Linked DNA regions of Rhinolophus ferrumequinum. The protein of the gene in region 1 interacts with the protein of each later gene in a biochemical or structural test. Links are inferred from orthologs where the notes say so. Each region holds a gene or a part of one and is shown on either strand. Other genes may lie near its edges.

Region 1 (4,837 bases):
CAAAGCTCGCGCCAAGGCCAAGTCGCGCTCGTCACGCGCAGGCCTGCAGTTCCCGGTGGGGCGAGTGCACCGCCTGCTGCGCAAAGGCAACTACGCGGAGCGGGTGGGGGCCGGTGCCCCCGTGTACCTGGCGGCCGTGCTTGAATACCTGACCGCGGAGATCCTGGAACTGGCGGGCAACGCCGCCCGAGACAACAAGAAGACTCGCATCATCCCTCGCCACTTACAACTAGCCGTGAGAAATGACGAAGAACTCAACAAATTACTCGGGGGTGTCACTATCGCCCAGGGAGGTGTCTTGCCTAACATCCAGGCAGTTTTGTTGCCTAAGAAAACGGAGAGTCACAAACCTGGCAAGAACAAGTAATTCAGATGGTTGACACCCGTCCTCCCCCCCCCAAAAGGCTCTTTTAAGAGCCACTCGAGTGTCAAATGAGGGGCTGACCACAACAGCGCATTAGCTCTTTTTTTGAAAACTTGGGTGGCTCTAAAAAGAGCCTTTGATCTTTGGTTTACTTTGTCACATTTTATTTGCTTTTGGCTTTGTGGCTCTCGGTCTTCTTTGGTAATAGAACTGCCTGAATGTTGGGCAGAACGCCGCCCTGGGCGATGGTGACTTTGCCCAGCAGCTTGTTCAGTTCCTCGTCGTTGCGGATGGCCAGCTGCAGGTGACGAGGGATGATGCGCGTCTTCTTGTTGTCTCGGGCGGCGTTCCCCGCCAGCTCCAGGATCTCCGCGGTCAGGTACTCGAGCACGGCCGCCATGTAGACGGGCGCGCCAGCCCCCACCCGTTCCGCATAGTTACCCTTGCGCAGCAGACGGTGCACTCGCCCCACCGGAAACTGGAGACCAGCCCGGGACGATCGCGACTTGGCCTTAGCGCGAGCTTTGCCTCCTTGTTTTCCACGACCAGACATGACTACACACAAAACCAACTGTTCTAAATCTCAGAACCTCGCACCGAAACAGGACTGAAAAATCAGCACTTCGAAAGCCTTTATAAGCTTTCCTAGGGGAGGGGTCAGGAATGAGTTTTTCATTGGTTCTAAATTGGCTCCAGAAACGACCAATTGGGTCAAGAGTCAGTGTCGTTACGTAGCTACTACTGGAAACGCCAGGTCCCTGCGTAGCCCAATAGAAACGAAAGACTTCTGGAGTCCTAATTTGCATACAGTGGTTATAAAAGGATCATGCCCGCCCATTATCTCATTCCTTTTCTTTACCAAGCTGTGTTGTGTGTTTGATAATGCCTGAGCCGGCAAAATCCGCTCCCGCGCCTAAGAAGGGTTCGAAGAAGGCAGTCACCAAAGCCCAGAAGAAGGATGGCAAAAAGCGCAAGCGCAGCCGCAAGGAGAGCTACTCCATCTACGTGTACAAGGTGCTGAAGCAGGTGCATCCCGACACCGGTATCTCGTCTAAGGCCATGGGTATCATGAATTCTTTCGTCAACGACATCTTCGAGCGCATCGCCGGCGAGGCCTCCCGCCTGGCGCATTACAACAAGCGCTCCACCATCACGTCCCGGGAGATCCAGACGGCCGTGCGCCTGCTGCTGCCCGGGGAGCTGGCCAAGCACGCCGTGTCCGAGGGCACCAAGGCCGTCACCAAGTACACCAGCTCCAAGTGAGTCCCTGCCGGGACGCGGCGCTCCCATGAGTGGCCAGCCGCTTGACTCCAAAGGCTCTTTTCAGAGCCACCCACCTACTCAGAAAAGAGCTCTCTGCGTTCATCTTTTCATAAGTTATGTTAGGATAAAGATCGCGGAACACATACGTTTTTAAGCTTTCCTGCTTTGAGGTTCCGCCTACGTGACTTGGCTCTTGAATGTAGGGCACGTCTTTAACCCGTTCCTGTGCTTTTTGCTTTTCCTGAATCAGGTCTAAATTAGTATCGGGAATCTGCTCCTACTCCGGCCCCAGACGTCTTGGTGGCTCTGTTGGGTATATTTTATTGGCGTTTTAAACGAAGTGATTTCGGTCATGTTCATTTAAGAAAGTGTCCCAGGACAAAACTAAGCCCGGGTCTCGCGGACACTGCGTCACAGCCAGGAAGGTTTCTCCCGAGAATTCGGCAGCTGCTTGGGTGCTGATCCGTTGTGTCCTGCGATGTGGCCTCCTTTGGACACCAGCGATTCCGAGCACTTCCGGCGGAGTCTGCGCTTCCAAGGTCCCAGCCCTTCTCTGATTGGACAACGTGAATATTCAAAATCCCGCGCCGCCCCTCGGAATTAATAGATTCTGGTTTCTGCTGCTCACTTTGCGGCTTTGAAATCCCTATTGTTTCTCGTTCTTGTGTTTCATTTTTGCTTTTAATTTTCTCAAAAGGTTCTGGACTCGGGTCACTTAAAGGCACTGGTCATTTAGGTCTGGGTTCAAATTTAACCTCTCAGACCTTCCCAAGTTATCCACTCAGGAATTTGCGCTCCTCATTCCTGCCTGTCCTGGTCCTTCACTGTTTTATCTTCCTCATAGCAGCCGTCAGAAATTTTCTCTTTCGTTTATTTTGTTTATGTTTTTTCTTATGCCCTTAACAGAGACTTTGCTGGTCTGTTTTTTGGCTATATCGCCAAAGCCAATCAGTACCTGGCACATAGTGGACACTTAAATACTTACTGATGTTAATATTTGTTAAATTTTTTTATCGCACCCTTTTCTTCTAATCACTTCCATGGATGGGTGGATGGGTGCGGTTCATTTCCATTAGATGTATGTGAAGACATGAAAATGGAAATGTTTTTGGAGCTCCTTCCCCAAGGCTGTCGTCCATGGTCACCTCGGGGCAACACCTGAGAGGAGGCCCATGTTAAGATTCTTTTTTGCTGGAAAGAGGACGTGGCAATGGTAGGTCTTCCTTTTACTCTAACGCTTCTCAGTTTAGCGTAATCTCTTGGGTTTTCAGTACATTGAGAGTTGGTCACTGGAAAGGCCCTTTTCCCTTCTTTTCTGCCCCACTCCCTGCACCCATCCTCTGTTCCACACTGAGATGAGCTTTAATTTGCACTTAGCCATCTCATTTGTTTTTCGAAGACCACGTAAGACAGACAATCTGTATGATATGCAAGGTTAATATGCTACCTTTTACAAATGAGGTTGAGAGAAGCAAAGTGATCGGTCCACTGGTCATGCAGCTAACATTGTCCACTTCTGTCTCCCGAGAACTGAGGACAGTTGCAATTTAGTTTTATTTTGTGTAATTACAGAATGTTGAATCTCTGTCTAAACCTTGATTTTGCTGATAAAGACACTGATGGTCTGATCAGGTACTCAACTCTGCTTTTGCCTAAGGGGTCCTGGAGCCCACTGTAAGGGTTTCATGAATCCAAATGGACTCCAGACATTATCATAGACTGAATAAATCTTGTTTCCTACATGTGTGTTTTCAGATGTGTGTAGAGGATATGGTTATTAATAAAGTTACCAGTTAATTTAAAATTCTTTTATCTGCAATATATTTCTAACTAAATGAAATTAGCAGATCCAACCACTACTGGGTCTGTGGGAAAGCTTGGAGGATGAATATTTATAAGCCACCAATTAACCAAACTTACTTGTAGCTCAGAGGTGCATTGGGCTAGCCTGTTATGAGGACACTTAATGCTTAGTAATTGAAAAATACATGATCACAAATAAGCATTGTAAACAAGATGGAAGAAATAAAGTCCTTACAAAATTTTAGCCTACAGAGCACTTACGATGGGCCACATAATGTTCTAGGCCCTTTACACATTCTGACTCATTTAATCCTCATAAGAACCTCATAAAGTAGTTACCATTATTATCTCCCATTTTATAGATGATGAAACTGGCACAGAGAGCCTTCTTCTCTGAAACTCTCCAGAGGATAAATTCCTAGTTCAGTGTTTAAGGGACTTGAGAAAATCAGGTAACTGAAATCCTGGGTGTCTCCCTGGATTCTAGGGGGGAATATCTGTGGTTTAAAATTAAATAAATGTCACCTGGTTTTATTCTCTTCAGAATGCACCCTGAATATATACCTATGCTGGTGGTGGCCTTGAGAATGGGATTGGGGGGTGCTCTGGTTCTCCATTCCAGAGGCCATAGCTCAACGCAATTTAGTTTGTCCTCAGTGGTGGGACTTACCAGCTGGAATCCCTTCGCTAACAGGAGGTAACATTAGTTGCTGGTTGTGCGCTCCTCCAGGGCATGGTGTTTACTACCAGTGAAGTTAGAGTGAGGAAGGGGTTAGAGGTGATAGAGTTTGGTATTTCAGCTCTAGAAGGGAGTTAATTAGTAATGGTAAGATGACTCCTCCTAAATAACCTCTTGGATCACTTTTATCTCCTGCTCAAACATCTGTATACATTTTCTGATGTTGGGGTCAATAATTGTTATAATTCCTTCTACTTATTGAGCACCGAACTATTTACCTGGTCTCTGCCAAGTGATTTACATGCATTGCCTAATTTAATCTTAAACAGCCACTATTTAAGATAGGTGATTGTTATCATCCTTACTTTATAGAGAAAGGAAACTGACTCTCGGAGAAGGTAAATAACTTGTCCAGGAAAATAACTTGTCCAGGATTGTTTAGGGAGTAACTGTTGAAACTGCAGTCCAATGCATGATTTGAAAAAGCTTAATATGCAAGGCCCTCTTTTTTTTTTTTTTTTTTAATTTTCTGCTCTAGTTAAAATGGTCTCTTTACCTTCCCCTAAACCTACGTTTTCTTTCCTAGGTCGGTACTGGACTGCACTGCATCTTCCTTCTGTCTTGGCCAGGGCTTTTTCTCAAGCCAAGCCCATATCTTCCAGCTCAAATGACACCTCTTAACTCATTTCTCTACCATACCCACTTCTACTTTTGTAAAAAACAATTTT
Region 2 (7,275 bases), on another chromosome or scaffold:
GAGAGGGGACAGTCTGTCCCACACTCTGTCCAACCAAGGGACCAGCCTGGGCCAGACACCGGGGCACTGGACGTGGATCAAAGAAACAGATCCTGTTCTCAGGAACTGGGAGCCTAAGAACAGAGACAACTTCTGCCTTCAGATTAGGGGGAGGCACAGTCCTCCTCCTTCTGGGAGACCCTCATCGAAGGCAGAAGGGCAGTACAAAATCCAAGACAGAGACCAGAGGCCCAGTCTGCCAGTGCACAGATGAGGGAGACAGGAGCTGAACTGGCACCGTCCTGTACTATGTGGCCAGACAGGGCACCAAGTCACGCTCGTCCTCAGCGCCAAAATAGGGCCCAGAATCCACCCCTTCCTGCCACCTTATTCCCATCTGGGGGCAGAAGGGGCACTGGAGGCCCTGGATTAGTCAGTAAAAGCTTCTTGAACTGGACAGCTATGAGCACGTTTAAAATGAGAAGAAGGTGTGGCAGAACAGAGAAAAATCTTACTGAAAGAACTAGGAGTGGAAACTGGTTTTACCTCAAGCGTAAACTCTGGTCTTTTGAAGTGTTGTGGTAGAAAGGATTCTGAGGCTGTGTCCAGGCCCCATGGAAACAATTAGTAACGTCTACCAGGGGTGTGGACAGGGCTAGTGTTAGCACTCAGGCCATGTACCTGCCATCCCCAGCCTAATACACACAAAGGCAAATGCTAGCAAGTTGTGTCTGGCCCATGGGCACATCTGCCAGGTAGATGCCCAGATCCCAGAAGGCTCATGGAGGGAGAGGAAGGACCAATCCAGGAAGCCTTCCTAGAAAAAAGGGGACATCAGGGAGGATGTGAACTCGGGGCTAAATCACGATAGACCAGAAAGAGCCTTACTTGGGGAAGTGGGTGAGGATAAGGGTTCTCTTCTCGGGCACCAGCTTGTCCTTCTCCACCCGGAACTTCTCTAGCAGTTGCCGCCGGGTAACAGTGAAGATGGAGCGGAGAAGGCTTCGCCCAAAGACATGAGTGGTCTCGTAGCGGGGGAGGCTATCGCAGCTCTGGGGCACGTGGCAGTAACAGAGCCATCTGCAGGGAGTGCGGAAGTGGCAAGTGAGAGTGGAAACCACCGAACTCAGGCTGGGCCTACAAGCTCCCCCCAGGCTGGCTGGGCCTACCTGGTGTAATTGACCTTGTAGGTTGCCACGTCCTCCGCCTGAGACCTCTGCCGAAATTGGGCAGGCGTCTCAAGCTTCCAGTAGTTAAGGCAGAGCAGGAACATCTTTGAGAGCTCAAACATCGTCTGCCGTTCCCGAGGAGCCAGGTGACTGAACTTGTACTGCACAAAGTTTAGCACACCCTGAGAAGGGGTGGGCAGGAGACAAAACCAGGAAGGAGGTGTGAGCAGCCAGCAGGGGCTTCTTATCCCAAAATAGAGGCTTCCTAAGGGCAGCGGCAAGGCTCTCCTCTCATTCTGAAGCTCTATGTGAAGAGAAACTGTGCCCCTCCCACACACACCCTGAGGTTGGCACAACACATGTTCCCCTCTTGGAACCTCTCCCGTTCTCAGTATGATGAGGATGGAGAACACAGGCTCCCCATTCCTCCAAATGCCCCCAACTCTCTTGCCCCCTTCTTCATCCCACCTGCTCAATATTAGGCTTCTCAAATGGGGGGCTGCCCAGAGACCCCTCCACTACGGGCCGGGTCATCTGCAGGATGCATTTCCGCAGGAGCTGGAGGAAGAGGAAGAGGGAGGCGTAGAGGTCAGCAGAGCTCTGAGATGCAGACTTCCCAGCCTCAATTCCTTTGCTCGCTCACTCTCCTGCGGAGAAAGCTCACCTTGAAGAGGTAGAAATAGACCTGCTTAGTGTCTGTGTCCTCCTCCTTGTGAACAGACATGAACAGATTCTCCACGTCCACCACCATCCCCAGCAGACGGTTAATCTCATCCTCTGACACATTCTCCAAGTGGGACACGTGGTCAGCTACAAGAACAGGTGGTAGAATTGGGAAGAATAGACAGAAGACATCAACAGGGCTTTCTGGCCCTCTTCATCGCCAGCTATGATACACTCTCAGTCTCTTCAACCACTGTGACCAGCACTAAGACTGACTGCTCCTGTGTGTCAGCCCTTGGGTGACCCCTTGTTTCTTCTGAATTGGCAGATTTCCTTTCTCCTCCCTGGGGAGATACACATTCCCAACCCAATTCTTCCTTAGAAGGCATCTTAAGAGATGAAGCTCTGCGGCACTGAAGTCGTCCTCTCCAAGCAGCACCAGGCACTTGCCTCTTCCCCGCCACCAGCTCCAAGGCACTATCTGCCTTACCCAAGGGGTGCTCACAGCTGCGGCACAGCTCACTCAGGTTGGCAGCTGGCTGCTGCAGGTCCATGCGGGGTGCAGTGGGGGGCTTGGGGTTTTTCCAGCCATTACACTTGCAGGTTTCATTGGCCTGGAGGCAGAAGGATCAGTCAATAAACTTGTACCCCAGGGACGTGGAGCCGCTTCCGAGCCAGGGCTCCCATTGCCACCCGAGCCCTAGGATGTCCCAAGCCCCGCCCTCTCACCCCAGGCCCCGCCCCCACCTTGCAAGCCGAGAAGACCCCTAGCTTCTCAAGCTTCTTGGCACGCGGCAGCCCCCGGACTTGCGCCTTCCTCTGGCTGGCGCGCTGCTGCTGGCTCAGGCCAGGTCGAGCCGGATCCCCCCCGGTCCCAGTACCCCCACTTCCTACCCCGGGCCCCCCCGTCCCGGTGCTCCCGGCTGGGACTGCAGCTGGGGCGGGGGCTAGTGCCGGAGTGGGAGCCGGAGTCGGCGCCGAAGCCGGGCTGGGGGTGGGAGTCGGAGTTGGGGCAGGGGCTGGAGACTGAAGGGGACGGGGCTGCGCGGCCGGGGCCGGGGTGGAGGCCTGGGAAGGTTCCGCCATGGCCTCCCCCGCAGCGGAGCGCGGCGCAGCGCTCCCAGCCCTAGGGCCGCATGGGCAACCGGCGCTCAGTGCGCAGGCGTCGCTGCTTCGGAGCATTATGGGAGTTGTAGTCTTCCACCGCTGCTCCTTTTGCCTCCAGCTTCCAGACTTTTCTATCCTGTCTCTTGGTCCCAGACAGCCAAGAGAAGCCCAAGCCAGCACCCCAGATTGAACCCCTCTTCATTTTCAATCTCTCTTGAAGGCTTCCAGGATAGTCAAGATTGCTGTCCTCTTGGGGATAAGGAGAAGCATCCCAGAAAACAGGCTTCTGGTTGGGGGACTTCCCTCCCAAGACCCGATGGTGGACGTGCAGACCTAGCGTCTGGGGTCGAGTTGGCTTCCTGGTACATCTCCCTCCCCCCTCCATCCTGTTCCTGTCCCACATGTCTTCAGAGACAGAGTTGCAGCTACGGAGGAGATTCAGCAGCAACAATTCTAGTTCTTGATATGTGAAGTGGTTACACACGTGTATTTCTCTTTGGAATACTTCAACTGTACCCTTTTGTGTGCTTTTCTGTACGTATGTTATACTTCCACAAAAAGGGCTTATTATAAAGCAGCACCAGAGGCATGGCTGTGGTCACGAAGAAGGCTGCCAAGGAGGGTATGAAGTAGAAGCAGACAAGGGCAGAAGCCTTTCCCTACGTTTGGTAACGTCTCTTCCCCAATACCATCGGTACCTTGAGGGTTGGACCGGCGTCTTCATCTTTGTGATCCCAGAACCCAGCTGAGCCTGCCGCACAGTAGGCCCAGCATGGATAAATGAGGGAAGCCAGGAAGACTGTGTCCACCTCCCAGTCCCCAATGTGTCACAGGTTTGTGCCTGGTCAGAGAAAGGCAGGACATTCCGAGAATGGATGATCCAGTGGTCACATTCCAGTGGCTCTGTCCAAGGGACAATCTTCTTGCCCCTAGGATACCCAGTTGGGCTCCAGGCCGGCCATGGGGAGGGTCCCGAGAAGGGGCAGGATCCAGGATAAAAGCAGTAGGGGGCGCTCCAGGGTGGCTGACAACCTGACCTATGGATGTAGGACATGCGTAGCTGACCCCATACTGCCTAAGTGAAGGGAGCCCCACTGAACAGAGCTGAGCCGCGAGGAGTGGGAGTGGAGCCAAGCCAGAGTAGAGCCGCGCGTGGCGCAGGAGGGTCCCTCCTCTCCTGTGTCCTGCGTAGAGCACTACACTTGGGCCTCGCGCCCTTGAACAGCAGTTGCTCACTTGGATGCAGCGGGTCAGTAGCAGTCTTCCCAAAGGGAACCAGGTGATGTCGCGGTCCCCCAGCGTAGCCCTCGCCGAACAGAACCGAGTGGCCGTACTGCCGGTGCAGCTGCTCAGGGAAGACGTGGCAGCTGCGTGGGACGATATCCAGGTGGAGAATGGTTTCCGGATGAAGATGGATGCCCACGGCTTCACCCCAGAGGAGCTGGTGGTGCGAGTGGACGGCCAGTGCCTGATGGTGACGGGACAGCGGCAAACGGAGGGCCACAACCCGGATGGGGGGTGCTACTGCATGACAGAGAAGATGCAGCAGCAAATGCAACTACCATCATACCTGGATCCTGCAGCCATGACCTGCTGTCTGACCCCCTCGGGCCAGCTGTGTGTCCGTGGCCAGTGCCAGGCGCTGCCTTCCCCTAGAGCCCTAACAAGTCCATCTTCGAGACTCAGGAGCCCTGGCTCTAAGAAGGGTTCCAACCTAGCCTGACCCGGTAAACCACCACCCTAGTGAGCAGCTGCCTTGGCGTCTGTGGTCTTTTATCAGGGTTGGGGTCAGAGGTGGGGGTATAACGAAGGTAGAGGGAGGCAAGAAAGGCACCTCAAGGTGGTGGTCCACCAAGAATTAGGCCTTTGTGGCCCTGGTGGGAGCTGGGGGTGGGGGTTGGAGGTGTGTTGTCCTACTCAGCTCAGCTCACTGCTTGGACCAATATCCTCAACCTTTGGCAGATGAGAGCAGCAGCGCCAGCAGGGAGCAGCAGAGGGCCGGGAGGGCCAGAGTGTCACCTGGTTCCAGAACCGGCAGAGGGCTCCCCAGAGACCAGGGAGCAGATGGCTTAGACCTGGTGTGAAGCTGCTGTCTGGGCCTGACCATCGCTCAGTCCAAAGCTCCAGAGGTCATAGGTGTTTCTTCCTCTTCAGGGAAGAGGGGAAGAGGACCCAGTCCCTCACAGGCCTGGTACAGAGTAACCAAAGACCCCAGAGTTTTTTTTGGTGTTTCAGAGACCAATTATTTTCAAACCCAGACTGCAAATCACCCCAATGTAATCTGGATGGGGTGGGGGAGAGGCAAATGTAGGACCCTCTTCAAACTCGGTGAGATTCAGTTCCAAGTCACTCTTACCCCAACCCCATGCAGTAGCACCGGTAACCAAGGGCCTCTTTCTCTTGGTTACCATGAGCACCAGCATCTCCTCACTTGGGTGGGCGGGGCTTTTGTTTAACAAAATTCAGTGGTTCATTGTAAATTAACCTCAAAGTAAGCCAGAGAGGATATGGTCTGATAAGCTCTGCCAGAGAAAGACAAGCGAGACAAGCGGAGGTCGATCGATCGGCTGACTATATTGACAAGATACTGATTGGTTACATGTTGAAGAAAACATACAATACAAAATACAGAAAAAGTTGGTTCCATCCCCTCCCACTACCCCCCTTACCCACCCACCCCCAAATACTCATCATCGTGATTTGGTCAGAACAGGGCTCAGAGCCAGAGGTCGGTCAGGGTGACCAAGGACGAGGAGGGTGGGGTGGGTTGTGGGCAGTGGGTTCGTGGCTGTCACAATAATGCTGTGGTTTTTCTCCCATCTGTGAATCAGGGGTAGGAGGGTGGGGGTGGGGGGCTGCAGCCTGATGCCAGGCAGCTGAAGGGAGAGCTGCCTCTCCCTTCCCTAGCCCCAGGGCCTGCCCCACCACCCAGAACCAAGCCCACCCCAAACACGGTAAGGATGTGAAGGCTCTTGCTGACCCTGCTAATCAGCAAGAGGAAAAGAGGGTAGTTGCTCCCACCCCTGCCTCCCCATATACACGGGTGGGAGGAACAGGGGCGGTGGCTACTACCAGCAAAGGGAGAGTGGGAGAGCTGTAGAAAGGGCAGGAAGTGGGAAGAGCAGAAGATCATATATATTAAAAAAGTGACTTAAGACTTAAAATTGAATTAGTATTTGTACAGAAAGGTGCAGGTGGAATAACTCACTCCGGCCTATGATCAAAATTATATGGTGAAATCATGGTGGACCCCTCCCCCTGCCCCCGCAGTGGTGGCCCGAGGCGTTAAGTGCGATTGGTTAGAGTGGATTCCAGTCGGGTCATTCAGGCGGAGGAGGTGGGGGCAGTGGGTGGGCAAGGGGGCTCAGTTGCTGCAGCACTGGCTCCGGCTGGCTGGGTTGTTCTCCTGGAGGTCCACACCTCGGTTCCGGCCTGGGGCACCAGCTGCGTTCTGGGGCTCGTTCTTGGGGAGCTTCTTAGCTGTTTGGGAGAGGAGGGAGAAAATGTTTGTGGGGGTAGGCCAATACTGTTTCCCAAGTCCACTTGAGTAGAATCTGGCCTTTACCACCCAATCAGTAATAATGAACATACTGAGGGCTTCACTTCCATGTGTCAGGTGCATTCTGAGTGTTTCAGGAAACTGAGGCAGAGAGAGGTTCAATGACTTGCTCAAACCCAGAGTTAGTAAGTGGTAGAGCTAGGACTCAAACCCAGGCAGGATGACTCCAGAGCCAAATGGCCTAAAAAAAAATCCTAAGAAGTGGGTAGGATGGTGACACAGGGTTTTAGATGGGTGGCAAGCTAAGAGGTCAGGAAATGAAATGTTGAGACTTTGGCCCAGGCTTTAGAAACTTCTGGAGTGAACTATCTATCTCTGAGAGTCAGATGAAGAAGAAAATGATTTTATCACAATATTAAAAATGGTGAAAGATCTGGTGGTGAAGGGACCTACTACGGAGCAGCAGGCAGGTTCTACGCCCCAATGTGGGGACGGGAGGAGAGGCAGCTCACCTATTGCCATGAAAATCTCATTCACGTTCATTGCGGTCTTTGCTGATGTCTCCATGAACAGCAAACTGTTGTCGTCTGCATAGGCTTGTGCTTCCTGATTTGGATAGAGGTGAGAAAGTGGGTGGGAGGGAAGTGTTGACAGTTGGTAGGGGCTGGGGCCCAGGATAAAAAAAAATCTTCCCTGATCACAGTGCCTTATACACAATAGCAACATTGTGCAGGGGCTTTTCAGGCTGCTAGCACTCCTGCTCTGGGTTCCTCTGAGACATCTGGCCCCATACCCCCCACTCAGGTACAGCACCTCTCAGCTCACAAACACTGGCAGATGTTTTACTCAGGTTTCCCT
Region 3 (6,947 bases), on another chromosome or scaffold:
TTCCATGCTCCAGAACTGTAAGAAAAGAAATTTCTGTTGTTGAAGCCACCCAGTCTGTGGTATTCTGTTACAGCAGCCCAAGCAGTCTAATATAGGGTCCCACCCCTCTGACACATTTTCTTTCTTTTGGGTTGATCATTCTCTCTGGAGAAGACTCTCTCAAACTCTTGCCTGGGAGGTATAAGCCAGCCACTGGTGTTCTCAGAGCGGAAGGAGAAATGCACTGGGGTGAACCTGTTCAGTGTACGTATAGACTTTGAATTAGTGTCCTAATATTTAGCTCAGCATGCCTGTCCTTAGCCTGCTCTCTCCCAGTCCAAAGACCCTCAGCTATAGTCTCTCCAGAAGATAAACCTCCAGTCTCTTCCAGGGTTGGAAGATAGGGTGATCTAACTTCTTGCTACACAGACTTTCAAACAATATTCTTATTTTTAGCATTGTTTCACCCACTTTCAGAATTAAGTGGTGCTTCAAATTTCTAAGTCTTTCAGTGGTCTGCACATGAATCAGCTTGATTCTGGGTTGCTCTGCTGCTGGCTTAGGTTTCAGCACTCTCTAATTGCTATGTCAGTTACTTCTCATCCATTTGCTTTCCATCTTCCAAAATTTTGGTGCTGTCATTCCCACTCCTAGTCTATCTTACTTCTTCTTCTTTCCCGCCCCCCCTTTATTGTCAGGAGGTAGTCAATATGCCAAATTTAACTGAAAGCTAGAGCTTAGGTTTTAATGCCCATATGGGAACATATGACCAGACCTTGGGTCCAAGAAACATGAATTGAAACTGAGATCCCTACATACAGCCAAGGTTTTCAAAGGAATGTAACATCAGTGAAAAAACAGACTAGAGAAAAACTCACTCACCATCAGAGGGAAATGACAAGGAAGATTTTAACCTTGACTCTGAGTAGGAAAAAGAACTCTCCCTTAAGAATTTAGAGACAAATGCCACACAATTGATTTAATACTATTAGGGAACCCCAAAGCCAAGAAACTGACATAGAAATTGGTCCTGAGTATATGATACTCCTAGAGTGCCTGGTCGGAGTTTATGGTGTTTCTAGAGTGCCAGACCTTACAGAAGCACATGAAAAACTATTTTGAAGGTACATGCTCTTAAGACAGGCCTCTCAAGAGTCCCACAGCTAACGTTAAGTGAAAATGATCTCAAAATTCATAATTACAAAGCACAAAGGAAACAGTAATTGAAATGAAGATTCGCGCACACACACACAAAAAGTAAGATTATATTCCCAAGATCTCTGATGAACACTACTGAAAAAGCATATTTAAAAGTATTAAAGATATAAAACAAATACTTAGAACCATAAATAAATAATAAGACATTATGAAAGTACAGGAATGTTTGAAAGTGAACTGAATATAATTTCTAGAAATCAGAAATGAAGTCAATGAAAATAAAAACTCTAGATAGGGCCGGCCGGTGGCTCAGGCAGTTAGAGCTCCGTGCTCCTAGCTCCGTGCTCCTCAATTCCCACATGGGCCAGTGGGCTCTCAACCACAAGGCTGCCAGTTCAATTCCTCGACTCCCACAAGGGATGGTGGGCAGCGCCCCTGCAACTAAAATTGAACACGGCACCTTGAGCTGAGCTGCCGCTGAGCTCCTGGATGGCTCAGTTGGTTGGAGCACTCCCTCTCAACCACAAGGTTGCAGGTTTGACTCTTGCAGGAGATGGTGGGCTGCGCCCCCTGCAACTAGCAACCGCAGCTGGACCTGGAGCTGAGCTGTTCCCTCCACAACTAAGACTGAAAGGACAACAACTTGACTTGGAAAAAAAAAGTCCTGGAAGTACATACTGTTCCCCAATAAAGTCCTGTTCCCCTTCCCCAATAAAATCTTTTAAAAAAAGAAAAAGAAACTCAGTAGATAGTTCAATATCAGGCAAAAAGAGAATTTGCACACTAGAGGATATATCCAGAATGTAGCACAGTTAAGTCAGGAAAAATGAAAAAGAGATGAAAAGTCCTGGAGAATACAGAAAAGGAAGTCAAACAGAACTTCCAGAAGGAAAAAAGAGAGAGAATGTAAGAAAGGTAATATTTGAAGAACTAATGGCTCGAAGAGTTACTTAACCATATACCCGAGTCCACAAATCAAATGTCATCAAATACCAAAGAATCTATATCATATAGATGGTGTTTTCTGCCCACAGTACGATACAGTGAGAAATCAGTAATATAACAAAGCCACACATATTTGAAAATTTTAAAACACATTACATGGGCCAAAGAAATCATAATAAAATTAGAAAATATTTAGAAATGAGAGATAATGAAAATACTATATACCACAATTTCCAGAATGTGTTTAAAGCAGTATATAAATGTATTGCTTTAATGAATCTGTGAGTCTCAAATCACAGATTTGACCTCTGGGTCCCAGGCCACCCAGCAATTTGAAAGAAATGCAATTGTTAAGCCTCTACCCAAAACATACTGAATCAGAAATTCGGAAGGTGGGGTCAGAAATCTGTATTTTATCAAGGCTTCCCAGTGATTCTGATGCATGCTCAAGTTTGAGAAGCACTGCCTTAGATGTACATACTGAAAAAAAGAGAAAATTTAATAGCAAACATCCAACTCGAGAATTTAGAAAAAGAACTTGCAAATCAATCCAAAAGCAATAGAAGGAAGAAAATAATAATGTTAAGAGCAGAAAATTTCTTTACAATCTACTTTACTGACTTTAATTCTATGTTAGGGGCCTTAGAGAGGTGTTATCTTTGCGTCTAGGTTGGAACAACCCCAGTTTTCCTCCAGGTTGACTCTGACTAGGGAGTCCATCAACGCAAGGAAGCTGGGCAAAAAAGAAAGTAACACATAGAAGAACATTTCAAGATAATCTTATTCTAGGTATCTACACAGATATATGCATAGAATCCTAAGAAAGCATTAAAAATGATTTTCTTTGGGGAGAGCAATTTGGGGTAAGGGGGGATTTTTTATTTTTCCTTTAAAAATATTCCTATTTGGTTTGAATTTAGAATCTTATATTACTTTTCATTTTAAAAGTGATAATAAGGCTTATTTGGACTATGAGGTTATGGGCAATTTTCATTTCCTTAAAAAATACTTGGTTAATATTATAGTATTAACAACAATAACAGAAACATGTCCCAAACCTGGACTGACTCAGAATTTTTTTTTCCCCCTAATGTAATTCACAGTTTCCTTCCGAGAATAAATTAGCATGCCTGATAAAAATATGTCAGGAATTTCCTGATAAATTCTAAGGGAATTGAAGACTTGTTCTAAGAAATCCACTCATCCAACTGTCAGTCAAGACTGAGCCTAATTATCTCTAAACAAACATAATTTTCTTTTGTATCTAATCTAAGGATTATCTATTTCTGTAAAACGTTCCTATCAAGAATACAACTTAGAATCGGTTTGCTAGACTCCTTTCCTTTGCAGCAAGATTTGTAATAAATTTTGATAAGTGGTAATAACCAAATTGTTCAGAAATGTTTTCTTTAATAGCAATTAAATATGTTTTAAAACCTTCACAAACCAGGGTAATGTTCACCTTGATGATGAGTCTAAAGGATGACGGGATGATGAATGACAGGGATCTAGAACTATAGGAGTAGAATGGAATTCATTCAATTATCCGAGAAGTATTTGAGTGCCTACCATATACCATATACGAGGCTTTGAAAAATACTCCAGTGTCCACCACGTGCCAGGCACTGCCCTAGAATCTGGGGCTACAAAAATGAACAAATGGGGTTTTGGGGAATAAAACTACAGTTCCCACAATACCTTGCTCTTCCGCCTTTTCCCAGGTGGTGGCTTCTTTCCATTATTCTCGTCCCAGGATTCTATAATAGAAAAGCCCCGCCCGCTCATCGACCCTTGCCCGTTCTCTCGTTAGGAGATGGACTACAACTCACACAAGGCCTTCGTGGGCGTAGCCTGGAAGGGCTCCGCTGCTTCCTGGCTGTGCCGCGGCGGACTACAGTTCCCAGAAAACTTTGCTTCCCCTCTTGGGTGTTATTGCCGCTTTCCCGGTGCGGGACACGGTAGCAGCGAGCGAGTGCCAGGCCTGTGGTGCTCCGTGTCCTTCCCCGGGGCAGGGACAAGGCAGTGACTTGACTCTTCTTGGGCGCTGAGCCGGGGAGGGAGCGCAAGGGGCCGCCGTCCCTCGCTGGCCGGCTTACCTCCCGCTACTTACTCTCCCGGCTTCTCCACCCGCCGCCGCCTGGACGATTCCGGACCGACTGCCTGGGGCAGAGGAGGCGATATCGGTCGCCGGGGCTGTGGCGAGGCCGCGGCCCTTGGGGCGGCGGTAGCGGCGTCAGCGCTGGGGAGGAGGAGGAGGGAAGATGGCGTCGGAGCTGGAGCCGGAGGTTCCGGCCATCGACCGGAGTTTGCTGGAATGTTCGGCTGAGGAGACCGCGGGGGTGAGTGCTGGGACCCGGGCAGGGACGTCTGTCCCCTGCAGGCCGAGCCCCGTGGGAGGAAACGACTCCTGGAAATCCTGGAGCGGCCCCGGCTCTCACTTGGGGTAACCACTGCGCGGGGCTCCCCGGCCTCCCCTGCTGGGGAGCAGCCGGGGGAGGCCACCGATCCTTCCCCATCTTCCCCTCTTTATCCTCGGCTAGCCCGCAGCTTGCTCTGTGCACCAGCCACCTTTACATTCCTTGTCTGCCCAGGAGAACCAACAGCTCTTCCATTATCCCACTTTCCCCCCACAGTCCCCTTAAGTCCCCAACACAGGGCTTTTGCCCTGTATGCCGGGTCCTGGAATAGGGCAGGGAAAGGCACTTCCTGGTGTTTGGGGTACAGCCGTCCTCCTTTATCTTTGTGATGCCTATTCCTGAGATAAGCGGAGCCTGGGCTCCTCCACCGAAACATGCTGCCTTCACCAAGCCCCTACTTTGTTTCCGGGACGGCCCTGAGCATCAAAGGATGCAGGCGACACAGTTGTCCCTCGTCCCCCTCGTCCGTGCGTGTGGACGCCGGTTCGCTCAGGCGACAGCACTGATGAATGTGCGGAAAGCCGTGTCTCGACTGAGGGGAAGAAAGTAGTGGAGGCTGGGAGAGCCAAAATATCATTCTTCTAGGAGTTGGGGGTCGTTGGGTGGAGAACAAACGTTATATAACTTGGGGAGAGCAGCTTTCACCAAATATTACAGAAGTTAGTAATGTGAGGTTTGGTCACAGCATAGCGGGAGCAGTTATGCTCCAAACTTAAACCTTTCCAACCCAGTATTGGACTGAAACTGTAACATGAACGTGCTTGTGTAAGGCACAGAGTTGTACAATGATTACTTGAATAAACTCGATGGCATCTGCCTTCAAGAACTGGGATCAGCCATTGGAACAGATTGTCCCGAATGATTATGAATGGACCAAAACAACTTCGGCCCCTCCTCTAAAGCCTTGGATTTAAAAAGCTACTAGGAAGGGAGTGACCTTTGAACATAAGTCAACAATTTGAATGTTATGAACAAAATTTTAGTGGGGCACTGTGGAGCTAGTGAGAAGTTATTTTGGGTGAATTGATGAGGACACTAAAGTCAGAGTGGAATAAGTGACAGGAGAGGTGAAAAGCCCTTGCTTGTTTTGTTTAAACCAACTTGTTTAGTCTAGGTCTGTTTTCATTTACTTGCTGCTTAATATTGCAATAACCCAAGGCTTTTCAGTCCCCACCAGCCTTTCATTTATCAGAGATTTGGAAAAGAAAATGAAAGCAGTGTTACAAGTAAACAGTAAAATGGTAATCAGGATTTTCTCTATCCCTGTGGCCCCCTATTAAGATCCTTATTGAGATCCAATCTGTGATTTACCTCCAAGTAATTTTTTTTTTTTTACTTCCATCGAATTTTGTGAGTGTTGGCCCAGTGATACAGGCTATGCACTCTTATTTTCCCAATTCTAAAAGTGCAAACTACCAACCAAGTGATTCAAGTTGCAATTTGTTGAGGTTCCTGATGAGATCTGTGGCAGAGACCAATCAATGCTCCTAGTTCTTGTGCAGTGAAATTCTCAAGCAGATGCAGCAAGGGAAATGCAATAAAAATTTATTAACTTGGACCTAATTTGAGTTTGTGAGGAGGTACGTTTTACTTTTGCTGTTTACTTTTAAATGGTTTTCTGAACAAAAAGATGAAAAAAAAATGTTTAGTCTGAAGGCTAACAAAATTCCTTAAAGAAGATTGAAAACTAATATTAAAACGTAAGGTTCTTCCAGCTACATAACCCGGCCTTTCTTTGTGAAGGGTTTATTGTCTGTATTTAGTTAAAACAGCGTAACACTTAAAACGATTCTTTTAGCCTAGGCTCCAGGATGGCTCTTTATCACAAATTAAAATGAATGAATAAAGTTTTCTCAGGTTAGAAGTAAATTCTAGAGAGGGTAAACGAGTAAAGAAAGCAGCTATTGCAGCCTTTAGACCTCTGTTACTGGTAGTTTGTTGGGATCACATCTATTTAAAATTACTTAATAAGCACTAGTGTCATTTTCCCCACACTTTGTTTATACACTGCTTCTCTTCTATTATGAGGAAGAAAGACTTTTAACTAGTATGCCTCACAGATAAAAGTGTTCTCATCAATAACTAAGTTTAGGATATTAAAGTGGCCCTCCCTTCTCAGTTTTCTCTTTTTCTTGGTAGAATTGATTCCACAAGTATGACTTTCCCAACACTTCTCAAGTCTACGTTGCATGCTCCCATGGATTTGATTATAATGTGTTCCAGTGGATGATTAGGATTTAAGAAGTTAATATATCGTTTTTCCCCGAGTATTAAAGAAATACATATTCTTATAGAAGTTTTATGTAGGTTTGTATCTATTGGTTATTTTTTTGCTTTAAAATGTTTGAATTTTATATGTAATTCAAATACACAATTATCTCCATAGATTTTCCAATTCAGGACATTTCTTGTAAATTTCACTTAACCAGATTTTCAAGATTCATTCAC
Region 4 (7,912 bases), on another chromosome or scaffold:
TGGAAAGAGGCAAAAGGCCGGGGTGACTCATGCTCAGAGGCCTGGTATTGTCTAGAGGAACCTTCATTCCCGTGTCTGGCAGTTGATGCTGGATGTCTGTTGGGACCTCCGTTGGAGCTGTCAGAACATCCTCTTCATGTGTTCTCTCCACTTCCTTACAGTCATCTCAAGAAGGAAAATTGGAAGGGAAGGGGAGCAGAATGTAGAAAAGCAAGTAGGGTGTTCTCTATAGCTGTGGATCTGACATACGTCTCATTACATATACTCAAGTTGAGGAATGTTAGAGTTGAAAATGGAGAAGCTTGGGGAAGGGGAAAAGGAAAATGACACGAGGAGGAAGCTGACTGGGTTCCAAGAGCGTCCCCCAAAGGCCAGGTGGAAGCTGTAACACCTTTAATGGCATAGCATCACTTCTCCTGGAGTCACATGCCCACCTAGATTCAAGGGGAGGAAGTATAGACACCATCTTGCAACGTGAGGAGTGTCAAGGTCACCTTGTAAGAGCACGTGGCATGGTGATCTTGTTGTATTCATCTTGGAAAATAATCTGCCACACTTTCTTTCCACCTTTCTCTCCCCCTTTCCTTTTCATCTTGCCATGTGCTTCCTCCTCTTGTCATTTTCCTTTTCCCCTTCCCAAGCTTCTCCATTTTCAACTCCAACATTCCTCAACTTGAGTGTATGTAACGAGACATGTGTCAGATCCACAGCTATAGAGAACACCCTACTTGCTTTTCTACATTCTGCTCCCCTTCCCTTCCAGTTTTCCTTCTTGAGATGACTGTAAGGCAAGGTTTCTCAACCTTACTGCTACTGACATTTTGGACTAGATAATTCCATGGTGGGGGCGATCTTGTAATTTGTAGAATGTTTTGCAGCATCCCTGCCTTTTATTCACTAGATGCCAGTAGTACCCTTGCCTCTGTCATAATCAAAAACATCCCCAGGCATTGCCAAATATCCTCTGGGGGGCAAAATCACCCCCAGTTGAGAATCACTGTTATAAGGGAATATATAGGGGCAATAGAGTTAATAAAATCCCCAAATCTTAGAAGGCAGTGTCTCCAAACTGTTTTGATCATGTACTCTTAGCAACAAAACAAAATCTGAGCACAGCCCAATATATATGCATATTTATTTATTTATTCATATAAAGTCTATACATACTATCCTCTATGTTGTTCTTTTATGTAAGTACAAAATATTCACAAAAGTGACATATTTAAAAGAATGGGATAAAAACCTAATTAGACATCCTGATACATTCTTTCCACAAGAAAATGGATCATCTTGTGTACTCTCTGGGATATGGCCATACCACCTTAGAGAGTACTGAAAGACGGTAATGAGTGCTGCCTTAGGGGCTAGATAAGTCCAGGCTTACAGTCTTGGCTTTAGTTCCCTGCACTGCCATTTACTAGTTGAGTTATATTCATTTGTTCAATAAAAATGTCAGGAATACAATGGAAAACAAGACACAACCCTCAAGAAGCTAATGGTGGGCAGCCAGATGGCTCAGTTGGTTAGAATGTGAGCTCTTAACAACAAGGTTGCCGGTTCAATTCCCACATGGGATGGTGGGCTGCGCCCCCTGCAACTAAGATTGAAAATGGCGACTGGACTTGGAGCTGAGCTACGCCCTCAACAACTAGATTGAAGGACAACTTGGAGCTGATGGGCCCTGGGAAACACACTGTTCCCTTTTATTCCCCAGTAAAATTTAAAAAAAAAGAAGAAGAAGCTAATGGTAAGGAGACCTTGGACAACCTAGGTTCCTCATAGGTTAATAGGGATATCTTGCAGGATGGAACTGAGAATTAAGTAAGATAATATATAAAAGCATGTAACAGGTGCTCAAAAATGGTCCCCACTAATTCACTGTAAGGCTGTTTGTGATAACGAAAGACTGGAAAGACTCAAACTATACATCAACAAAGAACTGGTTGAATAAACAATGGTACATCTTCACCATGGAGTAATACACAACTATAAAGAGCAAGGAGGAATACATGTATATATGGCTAGGGACTGATTCCAGGATATATTGTTAAATAAAACAAGCAAGGTGTGGGAGGGTGGGAGAGAGGCCTTAAAATTATTCTCTATGATAGTATAATGTGTGACACTATGCATTTGCCAAAACTCATAGAACCTTACATTAGAAAGAGTGAACCTTAATGTACATAAATTTTAAAAAATCATCTAAGAGGTCAAGGGATCTCAGATAGAATGCAGGCTTTGACTAAAGAATCTAACTAGAAAATAACCTCTCTGAAGAGGGTGGGGGGAAAGGGTGCTGACCTAAGTAACTCTGTAATTGAATTCTGTAAGACTAAAGGCAAAATACCTGCACATACGTAGTCTAACTCTAGTTGATAAAGTTGTTGCCCACAGGTGTATGGGTTAACAATTCTGAAGCCCCTGTGCACACATACTGGAAATGATAATTAAGTAAATGGATAGCCGATGGTGGGAGCCAGGTTTCTCACGTTTGGAGTGGAGGATTACAGACAAGCAAAGGGGGATGACTAGAATGATCCAGGTGCCAGGTGACAATACATTAGAGTTATAAGAAATCAGTATGCACACATTTAGATTAAAGATGGAAATGGGGAGTTGTGTATATTTACGAGTAATCCTTTGCTTTCTTTCTCCTCTTTCTGGAACCCCTATGATGGAAAGATTGTTATGCTCATATGCATATGTATTTATATTATTACATACATACATAAAATATACATGCATACACACATAAATATTCATAGATATGTGGACATAAAGGGGTTAGTATTCACACATATTTTTCCTAGATCTGTCAGCTGAGAGCCTACAAGTAATGACATCCCAGCGGCAACAAGCACACCTAGTACCCAGATCTTGGTTTCTGATACCATTTTCTAATAAAAGGAACCAGGGATCCTTGGGAAAATGGCTGATTCTAGGTTTAGAGGATCTTGTGCCAGAAAGTAAGGAAGTGCTCAATAAAACATAATGATGGGAGTATGTATGTCAAAGGGACAATGTAGCTAAAGTAGGAACAATTTGATTAAAAAATAAAGTGGTATTGGATTATAACGCAAAGTATAAAGTAAGTATCTATGAGTCCATACTGCTATAAATAAATAATTCAATAAATAAATGGGGGAGAAAAGACAAATCTCCTGTGTAGAAGAATTTCAAATAACTTACATGGATAACCTGCCCTTAAGGAAGTAAGGCGTAACTGCTCACTCCTTAAATGTGGGCTGTGCATAATGACTTCACTCCAAAGAGCAGAGTAGGGGAAAGTGGGTAAAGAGTAACTACACTACCTAAGCCACGTGATCAAGATCAACATCAACAGCAATAACTGGCGTTGATAACTTTTACCCTTAACATGATCTGACGAGAATGGCATTTTACCTCTGTAGTCTTCCTTCTCAAAACCTATAGCCATAGTCTAATTACGAGAAAAACATAAGAGACATCCCAGTTGAGTGACATTCTACAAAATACCTGGCCACTACTCCTCAAAACTGCCAAGGTCATCGAAAACAAGAAAAGTCTAAGAAACTATCACAGCCAAGAAGAGCCTAAGGAGACATGCCAGGTAAATGTCAGGATGGCCTCTGGGTGCACTTGCTGTTCCTGGGACAGAGCACTAAGGTGGGGTACAGGCACCAACAGATACAAATCCAAGCTTAGGGAATCATCTGTGTGAGAGTGCAGTTATGGCACCCACTAAGTTTCCTGACCCTTTGTGACATCACAGGCCACAATTCTTCATCTGACAGTGCCACACATTTAAAACGCTCCAGGCTGGAGTTGTAACCATGATTAGGAAATTAGGTTCTGGAAACAGTCCTCAACCAGCATCCTACTCCACCCTTTGTTACTTTGGGAAGATTATCAAACCTTTCTGTGTCTCTTTTCACATCACCCCTAAAGTAGAAATTACAATTGTAACCTTTATAATTATATTGTTAGTGAGGAGCAAATAAGATAAAGCATGTAGGGAGCTTAGCCCAATACTTAGCACTTAGCTCTCGATAAATGTTAGCCATTTACTATGGTAGTTTTTATGATTCACTTATTGTATGTATTTTCTCCTGACAAAATTTAAGAAAATTGTTAACTACGTATTGAAAAATTGAAAAGACATAAAAGGGCGTTGAGTTATCACTGAGGAACTCACTACAGGGAGCAGCTATCACACTATATTGGGGAATCAAAAGAAGGAGTTTGAGGGTTTTTTCTTTTCTTTTTTCCCCATATATATCTTTTTTTCCATCTCTTTATTTTTTGAGCTTTTTTTAAAAATTAACAGCTTTATTGAGGATAATTTACATACCATAAAATTCATCCACTATAAGTATATGTGTGCTTCAATGACTTTTTAGTAAATGTACACAATTGTGCAATCATCACCACAATCCAGTTTTAGAACATTTCTATCACCTTCCAAAATTCTCTCAAGTCTGTTTGCATTCCATCCCTGTTCCCGCACCTAGCCCCAAGTAACTGATTTCTGCCTCGATAGATTTGCCTAGTATACGTTTCTTCTTCTCCTCTTTTTTTTCCCCTAATCCAGTAGTAAAAGGAGGTCATGCAAAATAGATGCTATTTAGGAAAAGATTTACTATTCAAAAATTACCGCAACTTTAACGTTGTTTAAAAGATGGTTTTTGAGGCGGCAAAGACTGGGGCGGTGGTTCTAGAGAAGGCGAGGAGAGTCAGACGTGAGAATTAAGAATCCCTCGCCCGACCCCCACCCCACCTGGGCTAGGTGCCTGCACACCACCTGAGGTTACGTAGCTCCCTCTTCGCAAGCGCCAGCCCGGCCGCAGGCTTTCTCTCGCGCAGGCGCAGTGATTCCGGCTTGCTGGCCTGGGGCGGGATGGGCGCGGAGCCCCAGCGAGTGTTCGCACCGATCGCGAGCGCGTAGCGATTACTTCTGTCTGTTGTTTAGGAATGGCGCCGTCAGGGAAGCTGGAAGGCGGCGGGTACCCGGATGGAGGTCTGGCTCTGTACTGACCGAGAACCAGGGTCGAGTGGGCTATGGGGGAGCCCGGCTCCTTGGTTATGGGGGACCGCGCCGGTGGCCGGATCTGGTGCTTGCGGCGGGTGGGGATGAACGCCGAGAGGCTGCTGCTGGAGGATGGAAACGAGGTGAGCGGGAGTCCTCTTGAGGGAGGGGAGTGAGAGGAGGCCGGGCCTGGAGGGATCCAAGGCGTCCGGGCCGGACGGATAAATGGAAAAGCGGAGGTGGGAGCGGGGAAGAGGAGCGAGATGTGAAGGTCTTTGGGTGAGAAGGTCCGGTGCGAACGGTTGGTGGTGGAGGGGAAGGGTTAGGTGGGGGGTGCTTGGCGGAAGTAGGGACCGTTTGGGAGAAAAGATGGCCTCTTTGACAGCGGCCTAGGCCTGAGCGGCGAGCTAGGGCGGGAGTCTGGGTTGAGGGAAGGAGCCGGGTGGAGGGGCACAGCGAGAGGGGGTCGTAGAAGGATGTGAGGTAGACTTGGGGTTTCGAGGGGAAGGAGGCGACTGGTTTGGGGAGAGGATGGGACCTCCCCATTTTGGGTCGCACGCAGCCCTGCGGGGCCCAGCCCCGGCGGCGGAACTGTGAGGCGGAGTTGCCCCAACTTGCGCCAAGAGCGTGAACTTTCTCGAATTTATTTTGAAAACAATTGCGAGTGTGGGGTCATGTCCCTTAAAACACTCAAACTTTAAAAACGCCTCCTTTCCAATTCTTGAGGAAAATTGGCTCGGGGCGGGGGGGTGGGCCACATTTATCCTGTGAGTCTCGGTACTGCCGAGTGTCACCCGATGAACTGGGTCGGGGGTAGGAATTAAGAAACATAAGAGCTCGCCTTTTCAGGAGCAGCTTATATTGTTTGCTAATGCTGTCATAACTGCAAAAAAAAAATATTAAAGCAGAAAATTGAAGCAGTTTGTTTTGGGGGCCGCTAGGACGGGGGTGGTGATTCTAGAGAGGGTGATGGAAAAGGAAGGAGAGAGAGTTGAAGAGAGCTGGATTAGGGACCAGCTTGTGGTGACAGGGAACCATTTGGGTTTTGGAAATAATTTGTATGGAAAATAAAGTCTTGACTGTTATGTATATTTAATTAGATTTTTTCCTATAAACTGGGTAATCTCAATTTAGTCTCCCAGGTATTTACCGAGTACTTAGGTTGCTTAGTGTGCTATGAGAGAGCCAAATAATGGCTTCTGCCTTCAAAGAGTTTATGGTTTGAATGGAAGAAAGAGGATTTTATACAGAGGAGGAGACTGAGAACATCCAGGCAAGCTGTACGATCAAGTGCCAAGATGTGGATTATTTAGTACCATCCTGGAGCATTGGTTCCTCAAGTCAGAGGGATTCAGGTCCAACCTTCAATGTTTGTGGATCAGAAGGTTATAGTTACTTGTATGCTGTGATTTGGAGAACACCAGGAAGACGCCTCCACCCCCAAATCTCACTTCATTCTTTTAGCCTGAGCCTTGACCTTTCTCTGTGCAGCCCTTTCCAAAATCATATACGTCTGGGAAGTTTCAGAAGAGACTAACACCTGAGTAATAGTAACTATATTTTGTATAGGGTTTGGGCTTTCACATAATTACTTAATCTGAGCCCTACTCATGTACTCCACACCCACACACAATTTAGGGGTCAAGAAGTTAACTCATTCTTCAGATTCAATTGCTGTGGATTATTATTTCTGAATAGCTTTGTAGCACTGGGAGTCTTGGTGTGGGGAGGGGAGGATAGGAAGAATTAAAGCACCTGCAGCAAGAGCAAAAGGACTAAAATCATTCCTGGACATATTTTAAACTGTTGGATAATTTTGTGTGGGACAACCTCTCTGGGTAGAGAACCATAGGAAACAGAGTGAATGGTGAAGAAACATGTGGAGGACTCATAAGGAAGATCTCTTTGTTCTTTCATTCATTTACTAAGCATCATGCCAGGTGCAGAAATACAATGGTACACAAGACATAAGGTCCCTGTTCATGAAATTTATATTCTAGTAAGGGGGAGAAAGAAAGAATTAAAATGAGATTAATTTTGAATTGTGTAAGTACATGCTAATAACATAAAGGAACAGGTAGCACCTTTAGATTGGGTCATCAGGGTAGGCCTCTGAGGAGCTGAAATTTGAAAGATGAGAAGGAGCTCGTGCACATGTCTGAGAGAACAGTGTCCTAAGCCGATCAGACAGGTGAAAAGACCCTCAAGTACCAGGGAGTGTTTCTGACCATGGTAGGAAATAAGTCTAAAGAGGTGGAGGGGTTAGGACATTCAGGGCCTTATAGGCTATGGGAGGAAGTTTGGATCATTGGAGAATTTTAAGGAAAGAAAGGAAATGATCTGAATTAAAATTTTTACATTACCACTGCCACTGCTGTGTGAAGAATTAAGTTTAGGAGGGCTAGTATAGGAGCAAAAACAGCGTAACTGGAGGAGGAGGCCAAGTTGTTTGGACTAAGGTAGTGGCCATAGAGATAGAAGTGAACAGATTTAGGACATATTAAATTACAGCCAGTAGAATTTGCTGATGATTTGAATGTGGGCATGAGGGACAGAGAAGAATCAAAGATGGCTTCTGAGTTTTGAGCTAAACAGATGTTTGGATGGTATGTCAGTTACTGAGATGAAAGTTTGTGGGGGAGAATAGATTGGGGCAAGGAGAGTCATGGTGGTCTTTGAGGGACTGAGGAGGACAGGCATGATTCTGAAAGATGTTCAAAAACAAAGAGGGCAGCTTTTAGAAAACCACAGATGGGGCGACCGGTTGGCTTAGTTGCGCAGTGCTCAAAACGCCAAGGTTGCCGGTTCGATTCCTACATGGGCCAGTGAGCTGCACCCTCTACAATTAGATTGAAAACAACGACTTGACTTGGAGCTGATGCATCCTGGAAAAACACTGTTCCCCAA

What was found. The genes of interacting proteins can lie anywhere in the genome.
Region 2: of the proteins of histone H2A type 2-C (region 1) and KAT2A, one has a biochemical effect on the other in vitro, tested with the Homo sapiens proteins (2 studies listed by BioGRID). The link is inferred for Rhinolophus ferrumequinum from reciprocal best matches to the Homo sapiens genes H2AC20 and KAT2A.
Region 3: the proteins of histone H2A type 2-C (region 1) and UBR2 form a complex in vitro, tested with the Homo sapiens proteins (2 studies listed by BioGRID, with this or other methods). The link is inferred for Rhinolophus ferrumequinum from reciprocal best matches to the Homo sapiens genes H2AC20 and UBR2.
Region 4: of the proteins of histone H2A type 2-C (region 1) and RNF8, one has a biochemical effect on the other in vitro, tested with the Homo sapiens proteins (2 studies listed by BioGRID). The link is inferred for Rhinolophus ferrumequinum from reciprocal best matches to the Homo sapiens genes H2AC20 and RNF8.

What each region holds. Positions count from the first base shown.
Region 1 is NC_046305.1:50,348,032-50,352,868, reverse strand, and holds histone H2A type 2-C, read right to left. Parts: upstream 954-4,837; 5' UTR 918-953; coding exon 528-917; 3' UTR 527-527; downstream 1-526. Other genes in the region: histone H2A type 2-B, read left to right, coding at 1-367; histone H2B type 2-E, read left to right, coding at 1,247-1,627. UniProt on the Homo sapiens protein: Core component of nucleosome. Nucleosomes wrap and compact DNA into chromatin, limiting DNA accessibility to the cellular machineries which require DNA as a template.
Region 2 is NC_046304.1:37,969,320-37,976,594, forward strand, and holds the start of KAT2A (histone acetyltransferase KAT2A), read right to left. Parts: upstream 3,018-7,275; 5' UTR 2,994-3,017; coding exon 2,559-2,993; intron 2,426-2,558; coding exon 2,302-2,425; intron 1,959-2,301; coding exon 1,813-1,958; intron 1,707-1,812; coding exon 1,617-1,706; intron 1,331-1,616; coding exon 1,149-1,330; intron 1,060-1,148; coding exon 868-1,059; intron 1-867. Other genes in the region: HSPB9 (heat shock protein beta-9), read left to right, coding at 4,159-4,641; RAB5C (ras-related protein Rab-5C), read right to left, coding at 6,283-6,398, 6,930-7,023. UniProt on the Homo sapiens protein: Protein lysine acyltransferase that can act as a acetyltransferase, glutaryltransferase, succinyltransferase or malonyltransferase, depending on the context.
Region 3 is NC_046286.1:12,147,213-12,154,159, forward strand, and holds the start of UBR2 (E3 ubiquitin-protein ligase UBR2), read left to right. Parts: upstream 1-3,930; 5' UTR 3,931-4,343; coding exon 4,344-4,421; intron 4,422-6,947. UniProt on the Homo sapiens protein: E3 ubiquitin-protein ligase which is a component of the N-end rule pathway.
Region 4 is NC_046286.1:7,412,198-7,420,109, forward strand, and holds the start of RNF8 (E3 ubiquitin-protein ligase RNF8), read left to right. Parts: upstream 1-4,895; 5' UTR 4,896-5,037; coding exon 5,038-5,148; intron 5,149-7,912. UniProt on the Homo sapiens protein: E3 ubiquitin-protein ligase that plays a key role in DNA damage signaling via 2 distinct roles: by mediating the 'Lys-63'-linked ubiquitination of histones H2A and H2AX and promoting the recruitment of DNA repair proteins at double-strand breaks (DSBs) sites, and by catalyzing 'Lys-48'-linked ubiquitination to remove target proteins from DNA damage sites.